5 linked regions of the Rattus norvegicus genome follow. The protein of the gene in region 4 purifies or fractionates together with the protein of the main gene of each other region. This does not show direct contact. Links are inferred from orthologs where the notes say so. Each region holds a gene or a part of one and is shown on either strand. Other genes may lie near its edges. The genes, in order: Bzw2, Cul4b, Saal1, Tmem43 and Endod1.

Evidence for each region.
Region 1: the proteins of Tmem43 (region 4) and Bzw2 purify together in Homo sapiens (affinity purification with mass spectrometry; 3 studies listed by BioGRID and IntAct, counting the BioPlex papers as one, with this or other methods). This does not show direct contact. The link is inferred for Rattus norvegicus from reciprocal best matches to the Homo sapiens genes TMEM43 and BZW2.
Region 2: the proteins of Tmem43 (region 4) and Cul4b purify together in Homo sapiens (affinity purification with mass spectrometry; 3 studies listed by BioGRID and IntAct, counting the BioPlex papers as one, with this or other methods). This does not show direct contact. The link is inferred for Rattus norvegicus from reciprocal best matches to the Homo sapiens genes TMEM43 and CUL4B.
Region 3: the proteins of Tmem43 (region 4) and Saal1 purify together in Homo sapiens (affinity purification with mass spectrometry; 3 studies listed by BioGRID and IntAct, with this or other methods). This does not show direct contact. The link is inferred for Rattus norvegicus from reciprocal best matches to the Homo sapiens genes TMEM43 and SAAL1.
Region 5: the proteins of Tmem43 (region 4) and Endod1 purify together in Homo sapiens (affinity purification with mass spectrometry; 3 studies listed by BioGRID and IntAct, with this or other methods). This does not show direct contact. The link is inferred for Rattus norvegicus from reciprocal best matches to the Homo sapiens genes TMEM43 and ENDOD1.

The regions. Positions count from the first base shown.
Region 1 is NC_086024.1:58,567,379-58,570,893, forward strand, and holds part of Bzw2 (eIF5-mimic protein 1), read right to left. Parts: coding exon 3,347-3,515; intron 915-3,346; coding exon 768-914; intron 1-767. UniProt on the Homo sapiens protein: Translation initiation regulator which represses non-AUG initiated translation and repeat-associated non-AUG (RAN) initiated translation by acting as a competitive inhibitor of eukaryotic translation initiation factor 5 (EIF5) function.
Region 2 is NC_086039.1:122,164,791-122,168,305, reverse strand, and holds part of Cul4b (cullin-4B), read left to right. Parts: intron 1-179; coding exon 180-372; intron 373-1,389; coding exon 1,390-1,494; intron 1,495-2,092; coding exon 2,093-2,203; intron 2,204-2,949; coding exon 2,950-3,035; intron 3,036-3,515.
Region 3 is NC_086019.1:106,340,320-106,343,834, forward strand, and holds part of Saal1 (protein SAAL1), read right to left. Parts: intron 2,778-3,515; coding exon 2,695-2,777; intron 2,607-2,694; coding exon 2,418-2,606; intron 1-2,417. UniProt on the Homo sapiens protein: Plays a role in promoting the proliferation of synovial fibroblasts in response to pro-inflammatory stimuli.
Region 4 is NC_086022.1:125,533,549-125,537,647, reverse strand, and holds the start of Tmem43 (transmembrane protein 43), read right to left. Parts: upstream 2,805-4,099; 5' UTR 2,720-2,804; coding exon 2,708-2,719; intron 1-2,707. Other genes in the region: Chchd4 (mitochondrial intermembrane space import and assembly protein 40), read left to right, coding at 3,260-3,281. UniProt on the Homo sapiens protein: May have an important role in maintaining nuclear envelope structure by organizing protein complexes at the inner nuclear membrane. Required for retaining emerin at the inner nuclear membrane.
Region 5 is NC_086026.1:19,517,201-19,521,255, forward strand, and holds the start of Endod1 (endonuclease domain-containing 1 protein precursor), read right to left. Parts: upstream 2,808-4,055; 5' UTR 2,618-2,807; coding exon 2,318-2,617; intron 1-2,317. UniProt on the Homo sapiens protein: May act as a DNase and a RNase. Plays a role in the modulation of innate immune signaling through the cGAS-STING pathway by interacting with RNF26.

The sequences.
Region 1 (3,515 bases), on a different chromosome or scaffold from region 4:
TCCTTCCCTGTGTCCCAGGCACTGCAAGCCACCTGAAGGATCTCTTTCTGTTATTCCTGAATCCCAGATATCTTTGACTTTCCGTTAGTGCTAGAGAGCTTTTTCTAAGACCTACTCACTTCCCTTTCATAGAGACGTTCCCATCTGGAACAGTGTTTCTTCCCCCGACCTCAGAGACACTGAAAGTCGTCTATGACCACTTAGGTCACATTCTGACCTCGACTTCCTAACTGAATTCTCCATGCAAGATCTCCTACTGTTTCTGCTCGCCATAGTGCCAGGGCATGCTGTACCTCAAAATAGTCAACCGACACAGTCAATTTACTTCTCTAATCCTAATGTCTATTCATAGCTTACTTAAATCAAAGATTCTGGCTTCTATTTTTCCCTATGGAACACAGTCGATAATTAGCTCACATTTCTTGTTAACGTATGACGCTACAGGTGACTGTATATTTCCGATGTCTTTTAACGAGAACCCATCTGGAGATGTTTCATGCCTAAACATTTTAGGCAGCGGCAGATTTGAGAAGGAAAATGACGTAGCCAGGGTTGGCTCTGGGGAAATGGGCTCTGCATTCACTAGCTCTTTCGTTTCTCGTTATTTGTGACAGGGTCTCACGTAGCCAGGACGGGCCTAGAACTGATCTGCATGACGCCACCTTCTCAGTGCTTGGGGTTTCAGGGATGCGCTGGCTCTACCCGCCACACCGTCAGGAGGTGCAGCTGACCCGCCTCAGAGCTGGTTCCCTTCAAACGCCCGTTACCTTCAGGTGCTTAAGAGCCTGCTCAGCAACCAGCTCCTCCTTCTTGTTCCATTCCACAGCGTTCATGACGCAGGTCCACAGCAGCCCGATCACAGCTGTCTCCGGAAGGTCGTTCCTTTTCATTTCCTCTTTGACGTAAAGCACCACCTACGTTTCATGGAAAAGAGTCGGAGAGGAACAACTGAGCAACCATAAATGCTGGGGCTATTCCTCTCCACGGCCTGGGGCAGGGTGGAAAATCCTGGGTTCAGCCTCTCCATCCCTAATACACATCCTCCAATGATAAATGAGAAGTATAGAAGCTGCTAGATGACATAGAGTAAGAGAAAGGCTTAGCTTCCTGGACAACCATTCTATGGGGGAACCCTTTGGGTCCAGCAGAGTAGGGCATTTGAGTCAGGCTGACTTATCATGGGTGCGAAGTAAGCAACAGCTCTGTGAATTTTTCTGTTGCTTAAAATTAAACTTCTTGATGTTTATCCTTTCAGTCCTGCTCTTGAGATGACTCTCCCGCCCCATCCCAGTGAAGAGCCAATAGGTAAAGAACCTGAACGCAAAGGCACCACCTCCCTCCTTCCCCTCCCCAATTTCCAGACAGGGAACCTTGATAAATACACGAGGGTGACCTTGAACTTACTGCTCCTCTCCTCACCACCTAGCTGCTGAGATTAGCTACCATACCTGGTTTATGAGGCACTGACATTGAACTGAAGGCTCCTATGTACCAAACAAGCCACACCCCAAATCCTGTCACTTTCTTTCCTCGATTCACGTCAATCCAGTGTATTCTGCAATTAGCAATACATCCATTCCCCTCCCTTATGGTGAGAAGATAACTGTTTTCTTTACTCCTGAACTTCAGAAACAGAGGACTGGCTGGGTACCTTTAGAGAGAAGTGGCAACCCGAGACTCAGACCTGCCTGGGACCCTCGAATGACTAGGAACAGGGACTGCTGCATCTAAAACCATCACTGTGGTTTTCCTTGTAGCTCACACCTCACTCTGTGCGTATGAGAGTCAAGCACAGCTCTAGTTTGAAGAAAATGGCTGCAGCTGCTGCAGGCTGCAGGCTGAAAGAGCGTCTGTTGTTCTAACACCTCCACCTGGTGGACAGTTAGCAGTTTGAGCTTCTCCAGCCCCCACTCTCTCGAGAAGCCAGGTAAGGCTCAGAGTACAGCAGATACAGCTGAAACTCAAGGATTTGGGAGTAGGAGGAGGACTCCCCAGCTAAAGTTTGAGTTTATCATGTAGAAAGGGTGGTTTTTTCTTTCAGCTTAAACAATGCCTTTCCAGATGTGTAGACAGTCATTGCTCTCTAACACATGGCAAACCATGCTTAAGCACGGTTCCAAAACCGGTAGCCTTTACAGAGCTCTTATAATGGGGTACATAAGATGCTGGCCCAACTGATCTTTCCCTGTGTGGATTTGTGTTTTCTTCTTCAAAGACGCTGGAATATAGCCCAATGGTGGGGCTCTTGCTGTGTATGCACACGGTCCTGGGTTTGACTCCAGGGGCCATGAAAATAGAAACAAGCAACACATTCATACCCAGTGATGCAAAATGCCCACGCCTTGACACTAAGTGCTAGTTAATGCTCGCACCAGGTAGAGAATCGACAGTTCAACGGAAATCATCACTGTGTGGGAGATTTTACCAGCAGAGCGCCAAGTCTGCGTGTTGACAAAACCGTTTGATAATCATGGCAGCCTGGTGAAAATGAGCAGTGTGAGCCAAAATAACGTCAGTTTCTAGAATACTCCCAAATATAACAAAATAGGATTTTGAGTCAGTACTTTGAGCCAACTTCAATGTTAGGAGCAAGGGAATAGTGTATGGTAACACATAGGAGGGACGGGAAGGCGAGGGAGGGGAAGGCGGGTTGCCCTGGTGCTGTTCATATTTTGATGCTAATTACTCTTCCCCAAGAGGGGCTGCCTAGGAGAGGTCAGGACCTTCTCCCCATTTTAACTTGTAAAATAAAGGCTAGAGCTGGTGATTAGGCAGGGGAAAGGAAAGGTGGAGTTGGGGAGGGGAGGGGGAAAAGGGATGGTGGAGGAGGAGGAAGAGGAGGAAGAGGAGGAGAAGGAAGAGGAGGAAGAAGAGGAAGAGGAAGAGGAGGAGGGAGGAAGATGGAGCTGAAGCATGAGGCCTGGAGAAACTGCAAGTGATAAGAGATCTCATAGCTGGGGAATAGAGCAGTGCAGTGTTAGATCTGCCCAATCTAGGTGCACAGCTTGTATTCATATTGAGTTGCGTTTTCTTTTCAACGGCTTATTTGGGCTGGGGAATTTACCACAACAGGGGAAGCTTATGTTATATGACCTATATAATTCTACACACGAACGTACGCACACACGCACACCCTCGCTAGCATGCATAGTTTTTTGCATGCGTTGGGGATGTAAACCATGGCCTAGTGAATACTTCTTCAGGTGCTCTATCATTGAATACACCCACAGCCATCAACCATGTTTGTTGAACTGGAGTTCACCGTGGTCTCCTAGCTCCCTGACGGGCTCCATCCTTACCCTGTATCTGTGTGTGTTGTGCAGGGCTTCACTACACGGCCTCTTACCTCCTTGATGGGGCATTCCTGAGACAGTCGCTCTTGCAGCTCCTTCTGCAGTTCCTTCCTGGTGCCCAGTGACTGCTGGACTCGGAGAAAGTCTGACAGCTCCTTCAGTCCTGCGTCAGTGAAGTACTTGGCGAAATGATCCACACTCTGTCTGTTCACTGGGAAGAGT
Region 2 (3,515 bases), on a different chromosome or scaffold from region 4:
TAACTTGTTATTTTTGTTTGTAAGTAAATATTATTTGTTTAGATTTTCCATTTCCTTCAGAGACAACTGTACCTTTTGTGACTGTTAAGTACATGTGCCAACTTTAAATATGACTTGGTGAATATTTTCACTGTAGAAAAAAATCAATTACCATAAAATTACACCATCTCCATTTTCAGGCTTTTGGAAGTACCATTGTTATTAATCCTGAAAAAGATAAAACTATGGTTCAAGAATTATTGGACTTTAAAGATAAAGTTGACCATATAATTGATACCTGCTTTCTGAAAAATGAAAAATTTATCAATGCCATGAAAGAAGCATTTGAAACCTTCATTAATAAAAGACCAAATAAGCCAGCTGAACTGATAGGTATGTTTCATATTCTTTTGTGGTTGTGTAATGTTCTTTTATTGATAAACTCATATTGATAATCATATTGTACCCATTCCTGGTTTGTTTGATGTCGCTTAGCCTGTCAAGCTGAACAGCATCTCAGTCTTCATGTCAAACAGGATATAAACTCTATGTGAGGTAGAACGTAGAACCCTGTTTACTTTTACTGAGTAAGCATGATTCTGTGCTTTGCAAGCCTATAGTGATTGAGACATGGGACAGAGTAATATTGTCTAAAGGTCTCCAGTTATAGCTACAGGAAAAGGGTAGCATGAAATTCCAATGCAAATGAATAAAGTCTAGGATGAAAATAAATCTAATGATACAGGCTTACTGAGTATACAAGTGTGTTGCAGTGTTCTCAAGCAAGGTTCCTACACATGCACTCATTGTTAGGAGTATATGTGCCCTAGAAAACGAGGTCCTCTGAAAGGATGGAGTTTGGTTTGTTTTCTAATTTTATTTAAATTTAAACATTTTATAAATTGTGCCTTCTGCTCTGTTTCTGGTTTATTCAAATAACAAAAGTAATGTTTAAGAATACTGACCCTCTGTGTAAAATAGAAACTTTAGAGAGTACCCGTGTTTTCTGGTGACTTTGACTCCACAAAGGGCAACTTGGAGCCTCCACCACGAGCTGTCTCTACCTCATTTTAAATTTTGCTTTTCTTTCCTTTTTTTTTAAACTGTGAAAGTGAGGGCTTGAACCCAGGGACTCTACCACAGTGCTCTATATGTAGCCCTTCCGTATTATACTAGAAAGTATATTCAGTCTGGAGTCCGATTTAATGTATTTAGGTTGTGGTATTTATTAGCCCTGTGACATTGACAAGTTAACTTGATCTTCCTTTTGTTGTAGGCCATAAAATGCATGTACATATAGCAGAAATACTGAAAGAGAGTTAGTATTTTATAGTCCTGTTTGGGTTTGTGTAGTGGTCAGTACCTTTCAGACACCCATGGTTGCTAAACTACAATTTTTCTCTATTTTAGCTAAGTATGTGGATTCAAAACTTCGTGCAGGCAACAAAGAAGCTACAGATGAAGAGCTTGAGAAAATGTTGGATAAAATAATGATTATATTTAGATTTATCTATGGTAAGTGTTGATTACTGCTTTCATGTTTTTCTTTTAAAACAAAGCACTCTGAGCCAGGCATAGTGATCCACAATCCTGCAATCCACAATTCAGGAGGCTGAAGCACTATTGCTGTGTAGGCCACATAGAATCAGACCAGCTAGGGCAACATAGCAAGGCACTCCTATAGGAACTAAAAAACTCTTATATAACCCGGGGAGACTTTGAGACCTATAGGTTATATTTTACTTATTGCATATTTTGGATCCTTAAGAAGAGTTGAGGAATGTAACTAAATTGCCTGTGTTTTGACCTTTGCACTATTAAGAACCTGGGATTTTACTGCTTGTTTTAATCTCTGAGTTTTGGTGCTAACAGTACCAATGTACTAAAGTTGTTTTTTTTCCAGAAAAATAGTTAATACAGTCTTAATTTTTTATAATAAAAAACTTTTGAAATACCTGGCACAGACATGGACCTCCAGTGTTCCTGAGTTTAATAAACTTGGATAAAATGTATAAAATTAAATAACTTGGCATGTTACAATAAGCTTTTTAAAGCCATTTTCTTACAGCTTTACTTGGCATATCATGAATGTTATCTTTTCTATTTAATACAGGCAAAGATGTTTTTGAGGCCTTCTATAAGAAAGACTTAGCCAAACGCCTATTAGTTGGCAAGAGTGCATCAGTGGATGCTGAAAAATCAATGCTGTCCAAACTGAAACACGGTATGTTTCTCAGTCTTCTTTTTTAATATCAGCTTTTTCTTTTTTTAATATTTGAGGTAAATAATGGCTTAATTATGTTCCTTTCTTTTATATACACATGATGAAAATATAAATTGACAGGATGGGGAGGATGATTCAGAGGGTAAGAGGTCTTTGTGCACAAACATGAGGACATGAGTTTGAATCCATAACACCCTTGTAAAAAATCATATGTATAAGTCCACTAGCTAGGGGTAGGGTAGGAGTAGAGAACAGGAGGATCTTTGGGGATTCCTGGACACCAGACTAGCTCTGGGTTCAAAGATAGACCCTATTTCAAAGGAATAAGGTATACTGTGGTAGAGGAGTACAGCCAATGACCTCTGACTTGGACATGCATATTGTCCATACCTGTACACACTTACCCCAACACACACACACACACACACACACACACACACACACACACACACAAAGTGAGGTATGAGAGTCCTAGCCTCTTGCTGATAGCCACAATTATTGTATTGTTTTAAAGATAAAGAATTATTCTTTTGTTTATTTGTATAAAATTTGCCAACTATCCTATACCTGGATTAAAGAGTTTACCTCTGAATTGCTAGGGCACGCTGAGAGGTAAGACTTTTCATTCTTACAAGTGGATACAGATCATATTTTATGCCCAAGTTGAGTTTTGTATTTTATTTTCTGATTTTAATTTTTGTTTGTTGTACTACCTTGGAATATAAATCTGTAAACCTCTTTAACAGAATGTGGAGCCGCTTTTACCAGCAAGCTTGAAGGCATGTTTAAAGACATGGAGCTTTCTAAAGATATCATGATCCAGTTCAAACAGGTAAAAGTGGGTTAAACTCTTAACTCCCTAAACTTAAGGATACTTATGTCCTTGCGGCAGTTTGTATTGAAGAAGATAAATAGAAACCCATATTTTTTTTACAAACACTTCATGGCAACTTAAATTAACAGTTCAGTATAGGGAAAAGGTCATCAATGAATTTTAAGTATATTTGGCCTACTTCAGGATTAAGTCATAATTAACATCCAGAATAAGACAGAAGCATAAGTAAAATGTATTAGATTAAAGTTAGTATTAGAAGACTTATACTTACACGGTAAGAGCAGGGATTTTCTAATCAGTTGGAGGATTTTTATTTCAGAGCCTGTCATGGGGATAGAGGTGAGGCGATCAAGGATGAGGGTGGTATATGCTGTCTCTGTTGACATTTGGGATGAGAATTGGATCTATAGTTTTGAAGACATAAATAGAAGGTTTTAAAATATTGTAAAAACATAAACAACCAGATGTAGTTTGTGT
Region 3 (3,515 bases), on a different chromosome or scaffold from region 4:
GTTTAAAGCCAGTCATCACACACATACACACAGACAGACAGACAGGCAGACAGGCAGACAGACAGATGCACACACGCACGCACGCACGCACGCATGCACAGAAACCACCACTCTTCCTATCCCTAAAGTGACCATCTGGTAGTATCCTCCCTCACTGCTACTGTTCCTGCCTTGATCAAAGCTAGAGCCTTGCTTGTTCTGATGCCACACAGCCTGCCCCCCTTCTCCCTTTTTACTCATGACTCCCTACGCTTACCAGCCCATGGGCATCACAATCAGCCACATCTAGTCAACCTGAGCCTTCCATGGCTCCCTGCCTCACCCACGGCCGAGGTCCTGCCCTGCACTCTACTCCCCAGCAGCTGCACTACTTCTCTTCACTCAGAGGCCACCCTAGCCGTATGGAGACTCCAACACACAGTACACAGTGCCCTTAGTCTCCATGTGCAGACTCCTCCTGAGCTTCCACATGACGACCTCCACCAGCTCCCCCAGGCTGTTCAGTGTCACTTGTCAACAAGTTTCAGACCCTCAAACAGGACTGAGCTGCCTACCTTACCTACCAAAGCAGACTGGGCCTCCGGGTTCTCCCAGAATCTCTCAGTCCCTCCCTGGCACACCCCGCCCCCAACCTTGAACTCTCTAGTCCAGGAGCTGGGCTGCCCTTCCCCCAGAGGCTCCTCCCTGTATAATCCAGACACTTTGGTCCCCTTTTCTGTCTCTGTTCTCACCCTGCATGCACACCCTTTCTCTCTTTCTCTTCCCCCTCCCACCACCTAACTCTCCCCCCATGGTGACTTCCCTGGCCTTGGTCTTTGGGGCCAGTGAACTCGTCTGAGAGCATCTTCCCAATACACCAACATTTAATATACTCTAACCTGGCTTTTCACTGGATTTCACTGGCAGAGAAATAACTTACTAATAACCCCTCCTTAAATATAAACAGTGCTTACTTGTTGAAAAATATATATATTAAAACAGGAAAATGTCAAAACATCCTCGAATGGAAAAAACAAGCACTTTATGCCCAGTAACACTAAAGGGTGAAGCTCTTGAGACATTACCTACAGAGTCAGAAGAAGACGAGAGTTTCCCACCAGGTATTTAAAACACCAGAGACACTAGGCAACACACTTAGATAAGAAAAAGAAGTCAGACAAAAAAATATGACAAAGTACGTGTAACTTCAGATAAAGTTGAGGATTATCGTGGAACCTATTACTAAAAACTGTAAGACAAAGGCTGGAGAGATGACTCAGTGGTTAAGAGCATTGACTGCTCTTCCATAGGACCCTGGTTCAAATCCCAGCTCCCCTATGATGGCTCATAAGCCTTTCCCAGGGGATCCAACACTTTCTTCTGGCTTCCATAGACACGAGGCAGCTGGTGCACACACACACACATACATACAAACATACATACACACACACACACACACACACACACACACACACACACACACATGTATGCAGACAAAACACCTATACACATTAGACATACATACAGACAGGCAGGCAGGCAGGCAGGCAGATAGAATTCAAGAGCAACAAGACAGGGAATGGATACAGCTCAGTGACAGGATGTCCACCTACGTATGCAAGGCCATGGGTCGAACCCTAAGCACAGCAAAGTCAAACTACTGGCAAGTCAGTAAGGGTGCTAGAATCAAAATTAATATACAAATCAACAGCTTCATAAAGCCCAACAATAGTGAGAAGAAAGTATGTGACAGAGAACAGCTATCCAAAGATAAAATGTCTGGGAATAAACCTAACACAAATATTACGAGGTCTGTAGACTGAGCACAGAACGGCTTCTGAGACGGGCAGGCCTACACAGTGCACTCCCTCCTCGACACAGCCCATGCTCAACGCAGCCCCACTTAAAGATCAGCAAGCACTTGGGGCTCTGCACTAAACAAGTCAAAGCTGCCCACGCCGTCAAAAACAGAGACATCAGACTGAAGAGACACGGTCCTTACTAGATGCCCTAAAGCGGTCCTTACTAGATGCCCTAAAGCCCTGTGGCGGCTGATCTGTGAGCTCAGCAGTGCAATTAATAAAATGCAGAGGACATTAGGATGTATTCATGGTAAAGCAAGGGGTACCTGTGGATTGACCACGCCATTTGGTGCTGCTTTCTTTTCGGTGCTGGGGACTGAACAAGGATTGCGCTCATGCTAAGCAAGCACCCCATTAGAGCTGCACCCCATTGGAGCTGCACCCCACACCTCTCCTCAATGCCTTTTATAAACATTCCCATATGTTTTGTATCTAATATTTTATGTGACTAGGGTCCTGAATAATGATACTTTCTTTCTGAGGAGAAAAGGTGAGAGAGAAACCCAGCGACAGCGCATGCCGCCTGGCCCTGGCGATCTGGTGGGCACCAGTCCAGCGTGGTGACACCTCACTTGCCTTCCTCTATCTTCAGGTGCTCCTGTTCGGCCCGTGAGGCACTGATGGCAGACAGCACTGAGAAGACAGAGGCTAGCACTGTCTTCTGCTCCTGCAGGATGACGGGCGGGTCATCGGGCTGGCAGAATTCGTGGCACACCAGGTCAAAAAGCAAACTCCATGTGTCTTTCCCAGTATCAGGACACTGCACTTAAGAAACGTTTTTAAAAAGTAGTCATTTTAAAGCTAATGAACACTTAAATGAGCAACTTCAGTGAGCGCCAAGAAACGGCCTTACCGATTGCTTGAACCCCATCATCCACCGTGGTGAGCAGCTGTAGGACGTGCATATAAACATCCAGCCCTTCCAGGTTTTCAGAACTGAGCGGACAGAAACAGCAAAAGCACTCGTAACTTCACTGGCTCAGTCATTCCCTCTCTCAGCAGGTGTGGAACAGACAACCATACGGACTCCGCTCACTAGCACCTCCATTGGAATGGGGAAAACAGAAAAAAAGGGGGTGTGTCTGTGTCTGTCTGTGAGTGTGGAAGTGTGTGAGGTGTATGTGTGAACAAGTGTGCGTGCGTGTGAGTATATGTGTGTAAACATGTATGTAAGTATGTGTGTGCATGTATGTCTGTGAATAAGTGTGTGAATGTATATGGGACGTGTGTAAATGAGGGTGAGTGTGTGAGAGTGAGTCTGAGTGTGTGAGTGTGTGTGAATGCACACGTGTGTGATACTGAGATTTTTTCATGGGAGGGATATGAGGCCTACGGCACCAGGCACCATGGTACTGAGGCTCTCTTCTGCTCAACACTTTGTATTCTTAGAACTCAAAATGCTGCTTCTTATATTTTTGGTTGTGAGCCTAGCCTTTAACGGCTGAGCCATCTCTCCAGCCCAAAATGCTGCTTCTTCAACCAGACAATTAAGTGAAGAGGGGGGCAAGTACTGGTTTAGCTGTGCTGGTGCAAATATCTATCATTTGGGGCACTTACTGCCAGGGGCCAGGAAGGCAGAGGGTATTAAGATGCTACCCCCACCTTCACAAGGAATACTGGTCTGGGAGGAAAGTAGGTAATTAAAGGGGTAATGACCTAAAAATGAAATGACTT
Region 4 (4,099 bases):
TAGGCACCTGTGGGAGTTGTGGCTAATAGGAACATTATCAGATTTCTCCACAATTGAAACTGGAGCTGCCACCCAGACTGTGGGTGTGGATGGAAGTCACAGAGATACAAAGTGGTCACCTGGCAGGCACCTCAGAGAGCCAGGCCCCTTCCTGCCCAGGATCAGAGGATGGATTTGAGACAGAATCCTTGAGCAGAGCTAATGCTACTTCTGGCGGCTGTCCACTGCTGGCTCAGGCCTGCTGAGGACACCCACGGTATCCAGAACAATACCATATAAAACTCAGTGGAGACAACCACTGCAGACAAGAAGGCAGCCATAAGCCAGCAGATGCCCAAAATGACATACTCATTTGTTACAGGCCAATCATGGGCTGGCTCAAGGGTAAAGAGGCTACCACTACCCATTTCACAGAAGAAGAAATCGAGACCCACTGTTTAGGTTATCAGCCTGGTTCAACACCTTGTAAGTAGTAAGTGGGTGTGCAATGCAGGGAGGGCCCTCTACCCTAGACTGTCTTCTTCATCGATTAGCGCAATTCAGGCTGAACAACGGAAAAGGAGACGTGTATCCCTGCTGGCTCCCCTTAAGGCCAGGAAGGAAGGGAAACCAGGAAGACGTCCCTCCAGCTGGGAGAGAGGTGAGGTGGGAAATAGCACCTGTGTGTATATGTGTGTGTATATGTATACACACTTATGTATCCACAGTAACGTGTTCCACTTCCAGCACACCGGGCTCAGAATCAACAAGCAATGAAGCAATGGGTGGGAACACACTGGGCCTGGAAATTGGCACACCAGGATTGGAGTCCCAGCTGTTGCTATATGAGCCTGGCAACATGTGCTCCGCCTTTCTGGTTCTGGTTCCTCACTTGCTGGTGACAACACCTACCTGACAGGAAAGTTGTTATACTGAATTCAGGGGCTTTTGTTCCACTCACTGTCTTAAGATTCCCTTGCTTACCCTGCCTGGTGACTCAGCTACTGCGTGGATGCTCTGGTACCGTCCCTAGGCACGGCAGAGCCACTGTCATATTGAAATCGGAATAGCTTAGATTGCCCAAATGAAGCCCTCACATTATGCGGCACGTTCCCTGGAAGAGTAGAAGAGGATCTTTATAACCTTGCCTGGGATTCTGGCTTCTCACTTCCCTCTGTGTCCCACCCCCAGCAGTGTGCAGAGGATACAGGAGGCAGAGGGCTAGTGGAAGGGAGGGCACACACCTCCATCTAGGCAGCCTTCCAGAGGCAGTCACCCATGCCGGCGTGGGACTCTGGTAATACCCACGCTCCTGTGAGTAAGCCCAAGATGGTTCACCAAGATGGAGTTGGTGCAATGGCTCCTTTGGTCTATGATTATCCTGACTGACATGGATGAATGTTCATGTCTTCCCGGGAAAGTCACGTAACAATGGATGGACAAAGGCACGCTTACTGAAGATATCCATTGTGTCTGTTTGTTGGTGTGAGAGTCAGACCCAAGATGGCTTCTGCCCACCAGGGCTGTGTGTACTAGCCTCTAAGTGTGACTTTTTCAAGGATTAAGCACCTCCCATGTACCAGGCTCTGTGCCCAGCAACCTCCCTCAAATTTCACAGTAACTGATCCCATGAGGGTAAACCCAGAGGCTTGTTAAGAGTGGAAGAATCTGGATTTGCCTCCAAAGCCTGCCCTCATCTGCACCTTCCCAGGCTGATGATATAGCAAGCCAAACTGTCTAAAAGCCCCCAAGCAGGTGTCTTCTGCTGGGGAACTGTAAAATTTGACGTTGAACATATGGATCCGAAGGGGTCCGCCCACTCTTGCCCGGCTGGCCTGCTGGTTGCCTTCTCCTCTGGTTCCAGTGCAGCATTCCTAACCTTTGGTTCTCCTCCCCTTCTAGGGCCGGACAATGTGCCAAGCAGATATTGCTTGGACAGTGGGTGAAACAAACTCTGATCTCCCAGGAGGTGTAGGAGGCCAAGAAGTTTGAGGACAGAGGAGGGGCCTGGGAAGAGGGTGTAACAGGCCCAAGGATGGCTGCAATGACACTCTACCAAGGAGGGAGAGAGGGTGTGACTGGGGCTGGCAGTGCTCCTGAGCTGGTTCCAGAGGCGCTTTCACCAGAGGCATTTATGAGTCACCAGCTTCTTCCACACCCAGTCCCCTAGTAGGTGGTGTTGCTCCGTTTGTTGAATGAATGTTAGGATTCACTAGGAAAGTTAAGGACTAGTTGCAGTAGGAAATGGCCAGAGGTCTGGGGCAACTATCTTCAGTCAGGGTCTCTACCCAAATCAGTGCACCAGGAACCGAGCAGTAGAGAAAAGCCTCCCTTTCTAGGTCATCCAGCCAGGCTTGTCCTGCTACATCACAGCCTAGGAGCACACACCCCCTAGGGAGCGGAGACCAAAGCAGCCTTTGTTGGACAGCTCCACCTGGGCAGGAGCACCTTAATCTGCTCACCGACAGACACTTTTCTCGTGGTCCTTCAGTTCCACAAGTTTTATATCCCCAGGGGCCCAGAAAGAAACTAGGAGTGGAAGAAGCAGCCGTGCACGAGCGGATTCGACTAAGAGCTGAGTCCCACAAACGTGCAGCCCGAGATAGACGAGTTCAGGGAGCTGAGGGCAGCCGCACCCACTGGGGTCGCAAGGCCGAAGGACCCAGCGCAAACCTAGGGGAAAAACGACCCAGATAATGGTGTAACCCGGGGATCAGGAAGCACTCACGTTCGCTGCCATGGTGGGCCTGGTTCGCTGCCGCCGTCTTGCTTTGTTCCTCTAGGAATTGGGATGACGACCGGAACGCAGAATACGGTGTCCTGTCTGCCACAGAGCTGCAAGACTCCTCGAGGAATCCAGGACCTGGCGGGACTCGGGATAAGAGTTACGGCCCCGCCTACGTCTCAAGTTGTCTGCGCATGCGCGTCTCAAGGATTGCTGGGAAATGTAGTCGGACGTCGGACGCTTTCACCACAAAATTACAAAACACAATATTTCACTGGTGCGCGTGCGCGCTGCAAGATTTCTGGGAAATGTAGTATAGCTTTAGTTGGCGGGCGCAAAGGCTGCTGGTCAATGTATTTTCGACTGAGAAGCGGTGCTGGCGCTTAGGACGAGCGGAGGCAGGCGCGCGGCGGGCAGGCCTGGAGGGGGCGGGTCCGTGTGGGCCTCAGTGCCACCCGCCAGGCCTGAGAAGAGGCGAGGGAGGTCACAACGAGAAGGTGTAGCCGCTGTAGCCGCGCCTGCTCCCTCTGCGAGCTGGGAACGTTGAGAACAACCATGTCCTACTGCCGGCAGGAAGGTGAGTCGGGCGCTGCCATGGAGACCGGCCGGCGCGGGCCTGCGAGAGACACGCGGTCTAGTGGTTTCCATCGAGCGGCTGCGGGCCCTTTAGTGGGCCTCACGCGGCGGTTTCCAAATGAGAAAGGCAGAGGCTCAGTGAGGAACGAGGCTGGTCCAAGGTCAAGGTGAAGCCCGAACTCGGGCCTCGGAGGCCCTCACGTGGGCCCTGCTAGTGTGGAGTATGTTGTATCTGGCTGGAAATCGGGGACTGTTAGGAATCAGCCCCCGTCGCTCCTCGCACTCACCACATGTTTCTCTCCCGCTTAGGCTTTTTAAATATCCCGGAAAATTACCACTTGGGCTTGAGTGGGTGTGCTGAAGTGCCACTAGCAGGAGCACTTATTGAGCTCCTCCTGTTTACTAGGCACTCTTTTAAATTTCACGTAGCGGTCTTTATATATCGGGTTCTTTTACTATCCACATTTTTATCAAACGGTAAATTAGGACAGGTTACTCGATCCAAGAGCCCACATCAGGTCATGAAACTGGAGCCCTATACGAAAGGACTTGCTTTCTTCCGTCATTTCTAGCCACGTTGAGGATCACTCACTTCCTCTACCTATTACCCATAGACAGGAGCCCAGAAGAATCCAGACCAGTCTGCTCTAAGGCCTCCCAGCACTAACTGGCTCCTTATATTTGAGCTGCCAAACCCTCCAGGCCCTAGTTTCCACTCTTGTAAATTGAGAGACCAGGCATCATTTACTCTGGTATTCATGAAGCACGTGCCCAAGGCAGGAAAGAGTTGGGAGGACTCTTGAGAATACAAAGCTACAG
Region 5 (4,055 bases), on a different chromosome or scaffold from region 4:
CATCCTGCCTGACTCATTGTCCAGCACTGAACTCCCTGTCTTCCTCCTGGACCTCTTGATCACACTGACTTCATAAGATGATTTGGGCACCGACGACTTGCCAATAGAAACTCCTTGGAAGCATCTAGAAGCACACGGAGCCCCGAGCAGGACTTACAGTTCAGGCACTGGCTGAGAGGCTGAGAGGCTGGTGTTGAAACAGAAGCAGGGGCAGCCTGCTGCAATGGCTCCAGAGGTCACCTGCATTTCTGCCTCCTCCCCTCCCCTCCCTTCTCCGTCCATCTCCTCCCCCTCCTTTCCCTTCAGTGTTCTTTGGATCCCCTTGCTGAATTCAAGGTAGGGTACTGTGGAGCCCACCATCTTGTAGGGAAAAGCAGCCTCAGTTCTCAGCCTTGGCAACTCTCCAGGGGTGTGGGGCGCTGAACTTGTTTATTCTAAGACAGTCTCATATAGCCCAGGCTGGGCTAGAACTCACTATACGGCCTGAGGATGACCTTGACATTCTGACCTCAGTGCTGGGACTATATGGGTGACCCTCATTTTATGCAGTATTGGGGATAAAATAAGTATGGCTAGGTGCATGCCAGGCAAACACTCTGCCCTCTGAGCCACAGAGCACTTTCCAGAAGTCAGACCGTCTTCAGCTCCAGCTGCCCTTCAGAACTACCCAGCATTCCACGATGACCTCTCAGGCGCGCCCATTTCTCCACCCAGGGTCTCCACAGCCTCTCTGTCAAAGCCTGTTCCTTATGACTCTCTTAATAACAGGTCCAAGGCTCTGCCTAAGTCTCCTCGGATGACTCCTTCACCTGCTCCTCCCTCCCACAATTCCCCTTTATTCTGATTCCTTGGGACTCATAATCCAGTATTAGTCTACCTGCCCCACTCATTCCCAAGCAGTGATCCAAGCATCTGCCACGCCCATTTCATACAAAACCAGTCTGAAATTCCGTCTTCTTCTCCCTTCTGAACCCTGCTAATCCTTCCACACTTGGCACAAATGCCAACCAGACCCTAAGTTTTTCCCTATCACCTTACAAACAGACTCTAACAGGAATCTGTTTACCTAGGTTAAATTATGTGTTTTGTGAGCAACACAACGGCAGCTAGTACTTATGGGTCTCTGGAGAACTTCACATATAGGAACTCATTTAACCCCACTATGTACTCCTGGAGCCCTCACCCGTCAACAGGGTCAACAGCTAGTCTAGAGGAAGCAGGATTTGAATGCACGAAGGGAGGTGCAGGTGAATTCTCAGGACTTCACCCTGTGAGCGTTTGTCTGCTGCTTTCTTCCCAGACTGGGGAAACATAAAGCACTTCTAAGGGTACACTGGGGGAAAGTAAGTTTAGATTAACATGTGCCTTCCCTATACGCACAAGCTAATACCTCTTTCTCCTGGCCTGAGCTCAAAGGTCCCTACAGCAGGCCGCTGGACATGGAAGGATGTAAGAAGGTAATATTGGTGCAGATCGCCTGAAACCTGCCTGGCCAGTGGCAGCTGGAAGTGTGGTGCAGGTACAACCCACACTTTCAGGCGGAGACACCTGAAAGCCAGAAGGTTTGTATTGGTGATCCGCACGAACCAAAAGCTATGGGACACACAGGGCCAGAAGGCTGGGGAGAAGTCAAAGAGGGGCAGGTCAGGGTGTCTTACGGAGGAGACCTGCAGGGGAATCAGTCAGCAGGTTCTGCATGGCCTTTCTCCTTGTTTGACCCCTGCCACCAGACAGACCCAACACTGTCTGTCAAAGGTGACTTGATTGCAATGGTTTGATAATCTGTAGATAACGAAGAGTCAGGAAAAACTGGTTTGTCCTTTCTGCGTGAACAAAGTCCCACTGAACTTCTCAAAGTCCATGCACTAACAGAAGCTTTCCCCTTAGCAGAAAGGGCAGTGATTTTTTAGCCTCAAGACCGGCTCGCTCATCTCACCAGCTGGGTGGTCTTCTGCAAGCTCCTCCACCCTCCTTGCCTGGAGCTGCTCCCAGTAAAATGGGGTGAACTTGCCCACCGCCCCGAATGTTGCTAGGGGGACAGGAGGCGGGCTTGAGAAGCTGTGCTTCCCGCGGATATGCCTGGTTTCAGGCCACCAAGGGCTGTCTCCCAGTCCGTGTTCTCTACTACCCAGGAAACCAACCAGACACTGCAGATGTCTGCGCCCAAGAGGAGGGAGGGCCATCTCTCCAGGGAACCTCCCGCCCCTGCGGCTTAAGTGGAGACTCCCACCAGGACAAGGCAGGCTGCAATTGGGGGGTGGGGAGTCGCCGGGGTGGGTCTGAACCTCAGATTCCCCTCCGACCGAGCCCTGCTTACCTGCGGCTCCAGCAGCCCGCGCTGCTCGGCGCTGCGGGACGCGGGACGCGCAGCGCGAAACGCGGAGAACACGGGGATGCGGTGGCCCGGGCTGTACAGAGTGGCGAAGCGCTCGGAGCCCGCGAAGCGTTGACAGATCCTCACGTGCGCCTCGGTCGCCAGCCCGGCGGGCGGGGTCCCCGCGTAGAAAAAGCGGTCGCACTCGCCGAAGCCCGCTTGCTGCGGGAGCAGCAGCCGGGCCTGCAGCAGCCCCAGCAGGGCCAGGAGGCCGCCCAGCGCCAGCCAGCGCGCACAGCCCATGGCGGCCTCTGCGCGGCCGGGCGCCGCGGGAGCAGGGAAGTCCGCGGTGCGCCGCTCCGGCAGGGCGGCTCCGGGCCAAGGCCGCGCCCCTTCTCCGCCTCCACCCCGAAGATGGCTGCAGTGCTGGGCCCCAGCTTTCTGCGGCTGCACCGCCCCTGGAGACCGGACACCTGCCGCGGCGCTGCTGTGTGCCAGACCTCCCGCTCTGCGCTGGTCTGACTTAGCCCAAGGGACGGTCCCCAGGGCTGGCGCGGAGAAGCCGGACCTTGCGTGCACCAGGTTCCTCCGGGATGCATGGAGGCGGGGGATGCCCGCAGAGTAGACAGTGCCTGCCCTTCCGCATCAGACCCCAGTTAAGAAACCCGGTTAAAGCCAGTCATGTTGGTAGAGGCAGAGGGCTCTGTAATTCATAGCTAAACAGGGCTCTGTAAGACCCTGCTTCAAATATAAACAAACAAACAAACACTTGCTAAAGGAAGTTCTTAGGCAGACGGCACAGGCCCGCTGTGGTTTTCTTGGTATGAGGGTTAGACATCAAACCGAAACTCAGAAGGGAACCAAACAGCCAACACCCTTTATTCATCCCACTGCTCACATGCCTCCGTACACCCCCCCCCCCTCGAGTTAGTATAGTGATAACCAACAAGAGCAGGATCTCTGTTTGGTGAGCTTATTATTAATCTTTAAAAATGCAGTTCACGGAGTCATTGAAAACCCACTGTTAGTCCATTGCGTGACTCCTGCGGGACTTTAGGATACAGTGTAAGGAAGTTGGCCCGAAAAGATGGTCTCTGAACTGACACCGGAGGAAGGCAGCCCCAAGCTAGACTTTCCCAGAAAGGAAAAGAATGAGGGAGGAACTTGAGGCAGGCTGGTGGGATAAAGAGCAGAAGAATCTGCCTGGAGTGAGCAGAGCGCCTGTCTAGTTTGTAGGAAGTCCCGGGCCCCGCCCCCTGGACAGTATATAACTAGCCGCGGTGTGTGTGCATGTTATTCCTGTAATAGGGAGGTAGAGGCAGAGGGACCAGGAGCTCAAAGGCAGGATGGGCTTCTTGGACCTTGTCTCAAAATGAATGAATGAATTAATTTAAAAACAAAACAAAACAAAAAAGACAGTGGGTGACTTAAATGTTTTCTCTAAGCCACTAACAGATTATAAACTGAAGTTTGGAAACAATAATATGCACTAGGTTAAGGAACCAAGAAGGGTGATTCGGGCTTGTAATTCCAGCACTAGAGAGTAGGGGCCAGGAAAACAGAGTTTAAGGCCAGCCTGGACTACACATCAAGACCCTGTCTCAAAAAACAAACACGCGAACAAACCAATAAAATATATCACTGAGCGTTTAGGTCTTTCTATCATATTCCTGAGTTAATAAGACTGCTGTACTGGAGTGGCCCAGAAGGAATGAAAAGCAAAACCAGTCCGGGAGATGGC